Drosophila melanogaster: one gene and its partners. The protein of the gene in region 3 interacts with the protein of the main gene of each other region in a pairwise test. Each region holds a gene or a part of one and is shown on either strand. Other genes may lie near its edges.

Region 1 (3,415 bases), on a different chromosome or scaffold from region 3:
CGGAAGAAGCCATCATCCAAAGGCTGGCCACAAAAACTGCATTTCGTCCTCAAGCATTGTGTCTCGTCGCCATGGTTGGAACTGGACAAAAAGTTGCGAGGCACGGAAGAATGGCTGGCGGCCAGGTGCCATCCTACGATCCTCTGGCCATGTGATGCGTCACTTCCTGATGCGAAGTAGAGATCCGAATATGTGCGGCAAGGTAACAGCTGATTACGAGGAACAGAAACGATTTGGCCATCCCGTGCTCAATATTTGCAAGCGAAATGGTAATATATTCGTAACCCTTCGTCCACTGCCCACTTTGGGTATGAAACAGAAACCCATAACGTTCCGGATCGTCAAGAGCGATATGGCGGTGGCACTGCGCCAGATCAAGCGTGCTCTCAAGGATCAGGGCTTCGAGAAGTGCAAGTGCCACCAGTCCCTGATGATGTGCACCTGTCGCGATGCCTTGGATAAATTTCACCTGAATAAGGCTCTCAAGAAAGAGTGCCAGAAGCGTTTTATAGAGCCATGTCCCGACCACTTGGTGCTTACCGACACAAGTGAGAGCGATTTGGAGTTCGATCTGGATGTGACTCCGCCGGCGGGAACTCGTAGACCGAAGCGCAAAGCCCTTAGGAACGTGGTGAATCATAGCACCCAGACTGCAATGAAGGAGCCACCAGTTATACCGCCTCCATATCCAGTAGCCCACAATCACTTCTATAGGGCCTACGATTGCGCAGCAGGAGATCGGTATATGGGCACAGCCTTCGGCGATAATATAGAGACCGTTTTCGAGGATGGAGTCTTTGGATACCGGGGTGGTGGCCAGCATGGAAAGCCCGTAATCTGGCGACACCCGAAGGTGTGGGGCAAGAAGGCCCAGGCACCACTCCCGATTGGAACCGCTAGGAACGCCATCGATCCTTACCGGTATACCAAAAATGTTTGGAAAGAACTGCCGCGAAAGATAATACAAAAAATGAGAGCAAAATCAAGGAAATAATTGTATTCTTTTATTAAAAGTCAAAATGTAATAAGCGTGTTTTATTTCTCTTAAGCTACAATGGCAGCCGTTTGGAATTATAGGAATTAGTATAATAGTATTATAAATAATTTTATTTTATATTAGGGAGCACATTTTTTGTGATTGTTAATGACGCAATCCAACTTGTTTTCAAAGTATTGCTAAAATTCTATTAATACGAGCATAAGAATTTGATTAAATATGCTAATTATATAGAAATTATAAACTGGTCTCAATCGACTGCAAACGGTAGTATAAAAGCGCCATGCCAACTGTTAGACTGTATTCATTAAAGTTACCAAAATGAAGATCTTCGCTCTGTGCGCCTTTTTGCTCCTCATCCTGGCTGCCGTCCAGGCCAATAGTTCTCCTGAGACCAGTGCGATCTCTGAAGGGAACCTTAAGAAAACTGCTGGATAATTTATAATTTCACGAAAGCTACTTGAATATTGGAATAAATATTCTATTTAGCAGCAGAATTTGTTGTATTTATTTGTATGCCCTTGCAGAGGGTATAATGATTTCAGACAGAAGTTTGCAACGCACTAAGGGGTACATTTGCAACCATTTAAAATATGTATAAATAATAAGTATTAACAGCAGAGTGTATATAGCCATATAGTCATTTAGTTATCCGTAAGTCCGTTTTTGCTCAAATTAGTCACATATTTAAATCTTTACATAAAATTGTTGTTTGAATTTAATAAATACGCATTACTGCAAATGTATATAAGACGGAAGACAGTATTGGATATATATTATTATAATATTATAATATTGTGAATTTTCGAATTCTAAAGAAATGAAGTTAAAGTTATGTTTATGATAGTTACTAATTATGAAAAGAAGATTTATAGTTTCTAAGAAGTAAATTCCATTTAACGTTGACTCTTCTGTCATACTATACTTCAATTTCCGACAAAGGTTATTAAATTAAGAATTAGCAGTTACTTGAAAGTTGTGTTCGAAGGACACAATGCTGGATATTTTACAAGAACCAGTACATCAGTATGGAAATCGGAGCCACCAGGCGGAGTGTATTCCGCTGGGAAGATATACAGCTTACGGATCGGAAATCGGACAGGATGATCCAGACAAGGGCTTGGGATTCTGCAGCGCCAGCATCCGGCGAGGATTCATCCGGAAGGTGTACCTCATCCTGTTGGCCCAACTGATCACTTCCCTGGTGGTTATAGTTTCACTTACTGCTGATAAACGGGTGCGTCTGATGGTGGCAGAAAGCACCTGGATATTTGTGGTGGCCATACTAATAGTGGTCTTCTCTCTGGTGGCTCTGGGCTGCAATGAGGATCTGCGTCGTCAGACCCCAGCTAACTTCATCTTCCTATCTGCCTTCACGATAGCCGAGTCCTTTCTGCTGGGCGTGGCAGCCTGTCGTTATGCCCCAATGGAGATTTTCATGGCCGTGCTAATCACGGCGTCAGTTTGCCTTGGACTCACCCTTTTTGCTCTGCAGACGCGTTACGACTTTACCGTCATGGGTGGCCTCCTGGTGAGCTGCCTGATAATACTGCTCTTCTTTGGAATTGTGACCATCTTCGTGGGCGGACATATGGTCACCACCATATATGCCTCATTGAGCGCTCTGCTCTTCTCCGTTTATTTAGTTTACGATACACAATTGATGATGGGAGGCAAGCATAGGTACTCCATTAGTCCCGAGGAGTACATATTCGCTGCCCTAAATATTTACATGGATGTAATGAACATATTCCTGGACATTTTGCAATTAATCGGAGGATCCGATTAGTTGCATGAAATCTCACAAACACACAGATTATTTTACATCTGCAATTCGACGTCGAGTATTAATAAATCAAATTCAGCAGCAAGCCTATTTTACATTTACTTAAAAGCCTAAATATAGGCTTTAAAAATTTGGATATTTTTTATACAAAGCACAGTTGCCATAAATAATATAATTAAACTTGTTTGCACAAACAAATGCAGAAATAACAAGAATGACCGGTATTCAATGATCGCACCTGTTCATAATCGCTAATTAACGGGCAACCTATATATTGAAATACATTTCGTATAATTTAGTGTTTTGTGACCCAAAAAATAACGAAAAATTATAAAAAAAAAGATAACTGTAAACGGTTACGATATTAGGTATATAAGATCTTCCAGCACCTCAAAGTGTATCAAATTTTGAAACGATGAAGTTCTTTGCTCTGTGTGCCTTCCTCCTCATTGCCCTGGCTACCGTCCAGGCAACTCCCGGTGATCTGCGCCATGTTCCTGTAGGACACGGAGGACACCCAGTCAATGCTGGCCACGGACCTGTGGGACACGCTGGTCCTGTTGGACACGGTCCAGTTGTAGGCCATGGTCCAGTTGTAGGCCATGGTCCAGTTGTGGGACATGGTGTTCATG
Region 2 (3,755 bases), 5.3 Mb from region 3:
GCCTGCTGTTTGTTGAGGAAAGGGTTGTTGGCATAGCACCTTCATGTCCTACGAAGAGCGTTACCTGTTCCAGAACATTCAAAAGACGCCACGTTTCCACTTAATCAGTCTATTTTAAAATCTTTTCCACTAAGGCTAGCTAAGACTACTTCTCGTGCACCTTCCGGTGGTTTTTAAGACACGTCTGCTGCCGGAAGGCCTGTCCACAGGTGTCGCAAATGTAGGGCTTCTCACCCGTGTGTATGTACTCATGGTGCCGCAGGGTTTTCCTAGAAGCAAAGCTCTCCGGACAGTGGTGACAGGGAAAGGGTTTCAGCTTTAAGTGGACTGCTCTCACATGGGCTTCGAGCTCGAATCGCCTGGCAAATCTTCTGCCGCAGTGCTCGCAGGGCAACTTGTCGTTCGAGTGCATCAGCATGTGCTGCAGCAGCATGAACTTCTTGGCCATCCGGCGTCCACAGACCTGGCATTCGTGGGGCAACTCTTCCTGCACCTCGTGCTGCTGCAAAGTGTGGTACTTGAGGGTGTATCGTGAATGGAACTCCTTTTGACAAATGTCGCAGAAATGGCGCTCTCCGGCGCCGCCCTCCCTGGCGGCCACCTCGTCCTCCGTGGGATGCTTTGTCTTAAGGTGGTATTTAAGATTCGCCGACTGGTTAAAGCTGGCTCCGCACTGCTCGCAGATGAATTTCTTCAAAGCATCGCGGTCACGCGGACTGTGCTTCAGCCTTTTGTGCTTCTGCATGGCTATGCGGCTGGTGTAGATTCTCTCGCAGCCTGGCTGGTCGCAGGGATGGCGTCGCTCCTTGGGGGCATGCACCTCTCGAATGTGGGTATACAGACCGCCCATGAAACTGTAGGCCTTCTCGCACTGATCGCATTGGAAGGGCCTTTTGCTGCCCTCGTGCACCTTACGGATGTGCGCTGCTAGGGTGATCTGGTGGGCAAAGCTGCGCCGGCACACAGAACACTTCAGGGTGTTCCTTGATCCCCTGAAGGACTTTCGGGGGGATTTATCACTTTTTATAGCCGGCTCATCGATGGGATCTGGGTCGGGAGCGGGTTCTGGTGGTTCCAGACCATGCAGAGACTCTTGGTCCTCCTCCCTGCCATCGTAGACTACTTCGAAAGTGGGTTCCCGTGGGTCTTTCTTCAGCATTTCCAGCAGCTGCTTCCTGCACTCGTCGGCTTTCCTGCGGAACTTTTCGAAATTCTGCACGGCGCTGCGGCATTCCAGGCACAGTTCGTTGGGCAGCCACTGCTGGTCGGCGTCCTGGTTCTCCACATCCTGCGATAGATTTATGTTGAGCAGCTGCTGCAGCTCCTGGCTGATTGGAATCTCATCTGATTGGAGCTCTGTCTTCAAGGGTTCCTTCTCCAATTGGAGCAGGCATGTGCAACAGAGTTCTCGTACGGATTCCCGGGTAAGATTTAAAGGCATTTTGTGGTTCTTTGAAAAAATTCAATTCAAAACGCTTTTTGTTAGGCGTTCCAACAGCTTGTTGTGGCTTTGTGAAAGAAGAAGAACATCAACTACAGTGCTCTCTTCAAAAAGCAAACAATAACTGTTTGACAACTCTGATTTAATATAAGTAGACGAATTTGTGAAAACGGTGTCCTAAAGAAATTTGAGTTATTAAAGCCAAATTAAAAGCGGAATTTATATATATACTAAGTGATACAGAAATCAGCACTATGCAAATTCCACTGTATTTCATTTGTATTTCAGACAAGACGTCGTCTGGTCACACTGAGCCAGAGGTGGACCTGAATCAAGCCTCCCAAGAAAACATATTTTATTCTATTTGCAGTTCGTCCTCTGGAATCTGGCGCAATGGTGTTCTACTTCAAGAGCAATGTGGTCCAGCCGCCGGCGATGCTATACATGGGTCGCGACAAGCACGAAAACGAGGAGCTCATCAGATGGGGCTGGCCGGAGGACGTGTGGTTCCATGTCCACGACCTGTCCTCGGCCCACGTGTATTTGCGGCTACGGAAGGGCCAGACAATCGACGACATACCCACCGATGTGCTGGTGGACGCCGCTCAGTTGTGCAAGGCGAACAGCATTCAGGGCAACAAGGTGAACAACCTGGAGGTGGTGTACACCATGTGGGAGAATCTGAAGAAGACCCCGGACATGGAGCCCGGCCAGGTGGCCTACCACAACGAGAAGGCGGTGCGTCGCATTCGCCTGGAGAAGCGCATCAATGAGATTGTCAATCGCCTGAACAGGACCAAAACGGAGGAGGAGCATCCCGATTTTCGGGGATTGCGCGAGGCGCGGGATGCCGCTGAGCGGCAAGATCAGAAGAAGATCCAGCGCGAGCGTCGCGAGCAGGAGAAGGAGGCTGCCAAGCAGCGTGAGCTGGAGGCGGAGCTGCGCAGCTATGCGTCCCTCCAGAAATCGGAGAACATGCGCACCAACTACGATGCCGGCAACGAGTCGGATGACTTCATGTAGTCCCCGGGTGGGCAGGACCAAGTCCTGGTGCACCCTCGCATTTACCCAAAACATCCTTTGCCATCCTCGACCTTTCTTACTCTATCAATCGCACATCATTTTGTAAATGCCATCTTTTTGGTTCATTAGAACGTTTGCGGCAGGCATTGCCAAAGAATTGCAGTGTGAGAAAAAAAAAATATAGATTGTAAATATAATAATAATAATAACAAGAAAGAATGCTATAGTCGAGTTATACCATTTTCTCAGCTAATGTGAATGCGAAATTTAATCATTTTCCTGGGATATCGAAAAATATTGGGGAAAAAATGACGGTTTTAGTGCGTTAGACTGGGCGTGGATGAAATTTTTTTTTTAAATCGATAGAAATTTAAGCGACTAATAAAATTGTGAAAAACCATCCAAACACTTATTAAAAATGTGGTCGTGGCAGTTTTGGGCGGTTTTACGGCGTGGGCATGGCTAGATAGAATCGGCTATTGAACCTGATCAAGAATAGATATACTTTATATAGTCGGAAACGATTCCTTCTGCCTGTTACATACTTTCCGACGAATCTAGTATACCCTTTTACTTTACGAGTAACGGGTATTTTGTGAGCAACTGCACTGCTTGCCAGTGTATAGTTAGTTTACTTTGTCACAGGTGGCGTGTTAAGCTCAATTCAAAATTTGAGTTATCGATATGAAACTGTAATAAACATATATTCGTTTTATTTACATGTCTGTAAACTTATCAGCAGAGGCTGGTTAACATTAGGAGAAGCGAACAGTCTGGCAACTCCATAAGTAAATTTCAAAAATGCCCGCATACAAATTTAAAAACTCATTCCGAATCGGTTGATTTCCATTTGATTGTGCCGAAGACAATTCGCGCTATCATCTGTCACATTTCCCACAATTTGATCGGCTCTGACAGCATCTGCAGCTTAAGCCTTTTTTTTGTTTTGGGTTTTCAGTTAATATTTTTTTTTTTTTTGCCCATCTTTATGATTGCTTATGTTTATAGTTGGGCGCCGTTTGGGGGCTCTGCCGTTTGCTGACCGTTTTATGGCTTCAACGGCTTGTTGCCTTTTTGAGTTTCTGGACAATTTGCTGTCAGCACATGGAAATGAATGGCTGCACGGCTGGCAAATCTTGTGTCAGCAAGAGCCGCACTCTTTTCGGCTCGGTAACGCACTCATTATCGGACATTTTATTTTCAGGCATTGTTCGCAACAACAATGGCAGCCAAACAACAATGGGGAAGCCCCCGAAAATGCGGCATGCGAAGAACTTGATGAGGCTGCGTG
Region 3 (3,755 bases):
CAGGGAGATTAATGGGCAACTGAGTGAGATGGAGAGAAGGTGCTTGGGAAAGGGGAAGGATACAAAAATCGACCGGACAAGGACTAGTCCTGGATTCAAGGATAACTGGGAAATAGTGATGTGTTGTCGCTAAACCTACGTTCATATTTGCACTTCTAGCCACTGCTAGTTAAAGTCTATGCCGTGCTTCCGGCTCGGGGAATGATATTATGGCGATGGGGACTCGGTTCTGGCGGGTCATCGGTCATCAGTCATCCAGCTCATCCCAGTTTTCGGCGCCGCGGCAGCTGCAGCGGCAAGGCAACAACGGAAGCAGACGAGGTCGGATTTGCTGCCATCACCGGAAGGGCAAGAGCCACTGGAGCTGCGAGTCCGCCGCCGACGTACTGCAGATGCTGCACCACCGAGAGCTGTGGCTGCTGCTGCTTGAGCAGCTTGGCGGCAGCGTGTGCCTCCGCCGCAGCCACCACGACGGGGTGCACCGGTTCGGTGCCGACTCCTCCGTTGACATGTGGACCGGTGCTTTCGCAATCGTCTTCGTCTGAGATCAGTGATATGCTGAGGTCGCTGGACAGTTTTAGGGAGATGGGCGTGGGCGGCGAGGGAGCCACCAAGGGCGCCACTTTGGCGCGCAATGCCGGTGACAGTTTCTGCAGCTGCTCCGGCATCAGGTCGTTCGTGTATTCCGGCACTCCACTAAAAGCCAGGCCTTCGCGTAGTTTGCTCAGCGAGAGTTCGTAAATACGGTTTGCGATGACCGTGTGAACGGTCGTCTCGTCCGGCAGCGTGGCTGTGATGCCTCCGCCCACGTCCACCTCCAGAAAACAGCCCGTTTCATTGCCGCCCTCTCCGCCTTCGGCGGTGGCGAATCCATTGCTGGCCGCCGTCGACGCTCGACACGGCTTGGGGTGACCTGACACCCGCGTCAGGCAGTTGGCAGTGGTGGAGGTGCGCGGCACCAACGAAACAGTTACCTCTTCGATGGTCTCCGACTGTGTGAGCGGTGCGAGCGGTGGCGGTGAGCGCATGGAGAGCTGGGAGCGCACTCTTGCCGTGCTGCTGGGTTCCTGCTCGTTGTGCTCGTCATCGCTGGTTATCAGGATGCTGTCGGTCACTGGGTATGAGTGGGTGGCAGCTCTGCGCGGCGCCTGCCTTCTGCCCGTTCTATGTGCTCGGTGCCCTGGGGCAGGAATCAGGAGGCGATTGTGGCCAGCTGCAGCGGGCTGTCCGGCCGATGGGGTCTCATCGTCATCCGACAGCAGGTCGATGGTCACGTCCGGCTGCAAAGTGGAGGCGACATGGCGCCGCTGCAGATGGGACAGCTGCCGGTCAGTCTTGGAGGCGAGAGCCACTTGGTCGCGCATCCGGGCCATGCAGATCCGCTGGTGCTCAAGCAGGCGTTCCATCCACCGACAGCGGCGCCGCTTGAGACGACGGTTGTCGAACAGCCGGGGCGATATGTAGAATGGTTCGGAATGTTTCTGGTTCATGTCTATAGGCGGCAGGAGAAGAGTTAGTCTGTGACGCCTGGTCGGCCACTGGTGGGCACCTATTTACCGAGTGTGTGGACTCGTCTTCTAGCGGTGGCGGTGCCTGCCACGGGTTGTCAAGGGTCATGGGCTCGGGCCCGTGGGGCTCCTCCTCCTCCTCCTCTTGCTGTTCCACTGGCGGCGAGTACAGTTAGATCCACTGCTGCAACTTGCATAATTGCGTGGCGGCGCAGGGGGATTTCCTTGAGAGGAGCGGAGGCGCGGGACTAGGCGCTGCGCCTCCCGCCGCTGGACATGCCGAGATGCGAGCGGGGCCGAGATGGTTGTTTTTTCGCGCGGCAGCTGCTTAATTTGTGCTTTTGTTGTACTTTAGAGTTCTGTTTATAAAACTGCATCGATAAGCGACCACACATCGATAACGCTTCTCTCGATAGTCCACGCTGCGTGCAACCGTGCACGTCGACTGGCCAAACAGTATCTGTCGGTAGTTATCGATAATGCATTCGCCACTTGGGCGCGCTATTTAAAATCAGCTAGAGAAAATAATGAAGCTTCGAAGCAAAGGACAGAAGGATACAAGTGCTTTGGATCACCAGCAAATCCAGCGACTTGGACACCAGGTAGCCCCGATAAAATTCCTATTAAGTAAAACACTCTTATCTCAAGACAAAGCACTCAAGCTAATTTTGGCACCACCCACAATTTTGAGAAGCACTCAATCGGCGCCGGCGCTCTGTTTTCAGAAGCTTTCACTCACATCTGGGAGAGCTTTCACTCCACATCCGTACGAGGACCGGAACGATAGGGAAGACACCGACTCCAGCTGGAGTCAGTTGGCAGATCGTCGCCTCCGGATGCGGATGTAGATATAGCAACCGCCCTTGGGCTTTTCATGCCTTCGATTAATTTTCGCAGACTTAGGATGCCTGGAAATTAACCACAAAAATCGTGAAGCCCCAAAACTTCCGTTCAAATTACTACAGGGTTGAAAGGAACATAAGGCCTTACAAGCGGAGTCTTGCGATCAGAAGTGGAGCACTAGTTTTGGGTGGGATATTTCAAAATGAAAATAACTGTTAGAAGGCATTTAGTACAAAAATAAGAAATTTTTTTGTTAATAAGTAGCCTTATGTATGCCCTTTCACCCATTTCTCTAGAGACAAGCGAAAAGCTAGCAATCTGATAAATAAAAGTAATCAACGTTCAGGCGTAGGGGCCTAGAGTAGTACCATTGGAAACATATTACTGATACTCGATACTCCACTCCACAACTTGATCTACAGTCTTGATCTCATATTTCCAAATATTCATATATCTGGGTATACATATAGCTTAAGATCAAAGTTATGTTGACTAGCTGTATGAACAAATCGGCGGATCGGATTGTACATTGTTGGGCACTCATTTACATCTGGCTTTAAGCTTTAAGGGTGTGCAACAGCCATGAGTCAAGTACGGTCCGCTGGGGAGCGGGGCGGGCAAGATCCGATTTCAGTAATTCACGCGAATGGCTCATTTCCCCAGCTCGCGGAGCAGCCAGGAGCCAAGGAGCAAAGGCGTTGGAGCTGGAGACGGAGATGTGTCTGCCCTTGGCGAAGGATACCAGTTTACTGGGGGATAAAGGGAGAAGGGCGGCGAGAGACAATAGACAATAGACAGGAACCACAACAAAAATTATAGACTCGGTCTTGACTTGGCTCGACTCGACTGTAGCCGGTGCTTTGCGTTTGGCTGGCAGCACAGGACCTCCGTAGTCCTGGCTGCGCCAGCTGCAGCTCCTTTGACTGTTTGTGTTGTGTTTCTGGATTGCACTTTGGCCGTTTAAGGCCGCGGAGTGCGGAGCAGGAGCAGGAGCAGGAGCAGCAGCACCCACATCTTGGCGCACCACACGCACCCTTAAGCGACTCTCCCTGGTGGCTTTGAATCCGACATCCTACATCCGACATCCAACATCCGACCCCACCCCGTGGCCCATCCGTGTCTGCCTGCAATCGTTTCCTGGCTGGGACGACCAGCCTGGCCCGCCTGTGCATTAAAATGAATTCCTTGCGAGGAGTTGGACGAGCAAGAGGCCAGGCGCAAGGGGCACTGAGTCGATTTGAATGAATGCACGTCCTCGCTGCTCATCCCGGTGCTCATCGTCCTGATGGCGGAAAATGGGGTTCCCGCTTCGCGTCTTCAAGTGTTTGCCTTCCTCAGGTGTTGAGTTGAGTTGCGTCGAGTCGAGTCAAGTTGGCATTGTCTTTTTGTTTTCGCCATCGTCTG

Evidence for each region.
Region 1: the proteins of a6 (region 3) and Recs1 interact in a two-hybrid assay, tested with the Drosophila melanogaster proteins (one large-scale study listed by BioGRID).
Region 2: the proteins of a6 (region 3) and CG3032 interact in a two-hybrid assay, tested with the Drosophila melanogaster proteins (one large-scale study listed by BioGRID).

Annotation. Positions count from the first base shown.
Region 1 is NT_033777.3:14,152,336-14,155,750, reverse strand, and holds Recs1 (Recs1), read left to right. Parts: upstream 1-1,921; 5' UTR 1,922-1,991; coding exon 1,992-2,786; 3' UTR 2,787-2,866; downstream 2,867-3,415. Other genes in the region: CG31533 (uncharacterized protein), read left to right, coding at 1-994; CG44215 (uncharacterized protein), read left to right, coding at 1,319-1,435; CG42500 (uncharacterized protein), read left to right, coding at 3,199-3,415.
Region 2 is NC_004354.4:7,012,143-7,015,897, forward strand, and holds CG3032 (uncharacterized protein), read right to left. Parts: upstream 1,740-3,755; 5' UTR 1,442-1,739; coding exon 146-1,441; 3' UTR 97-145; downstream 1-96. Other genes in the region: CG4593 (uncharacterized protein), read left to right, coding at 1,835-2,464.
Region 3 is NC_004354.4:1,693,983-1,697,737, forward strand, and holds the start of a6 (a6), read right to left. Parts: upstream 1,908-3,755; 5' UTR 1,558-1,907; exon of another isoform or gene 1,550-1,557; intron 1,493-1,549; 5' UTR 1,491-1,492; coding exon 261-1,490; 3' UTR 1-260.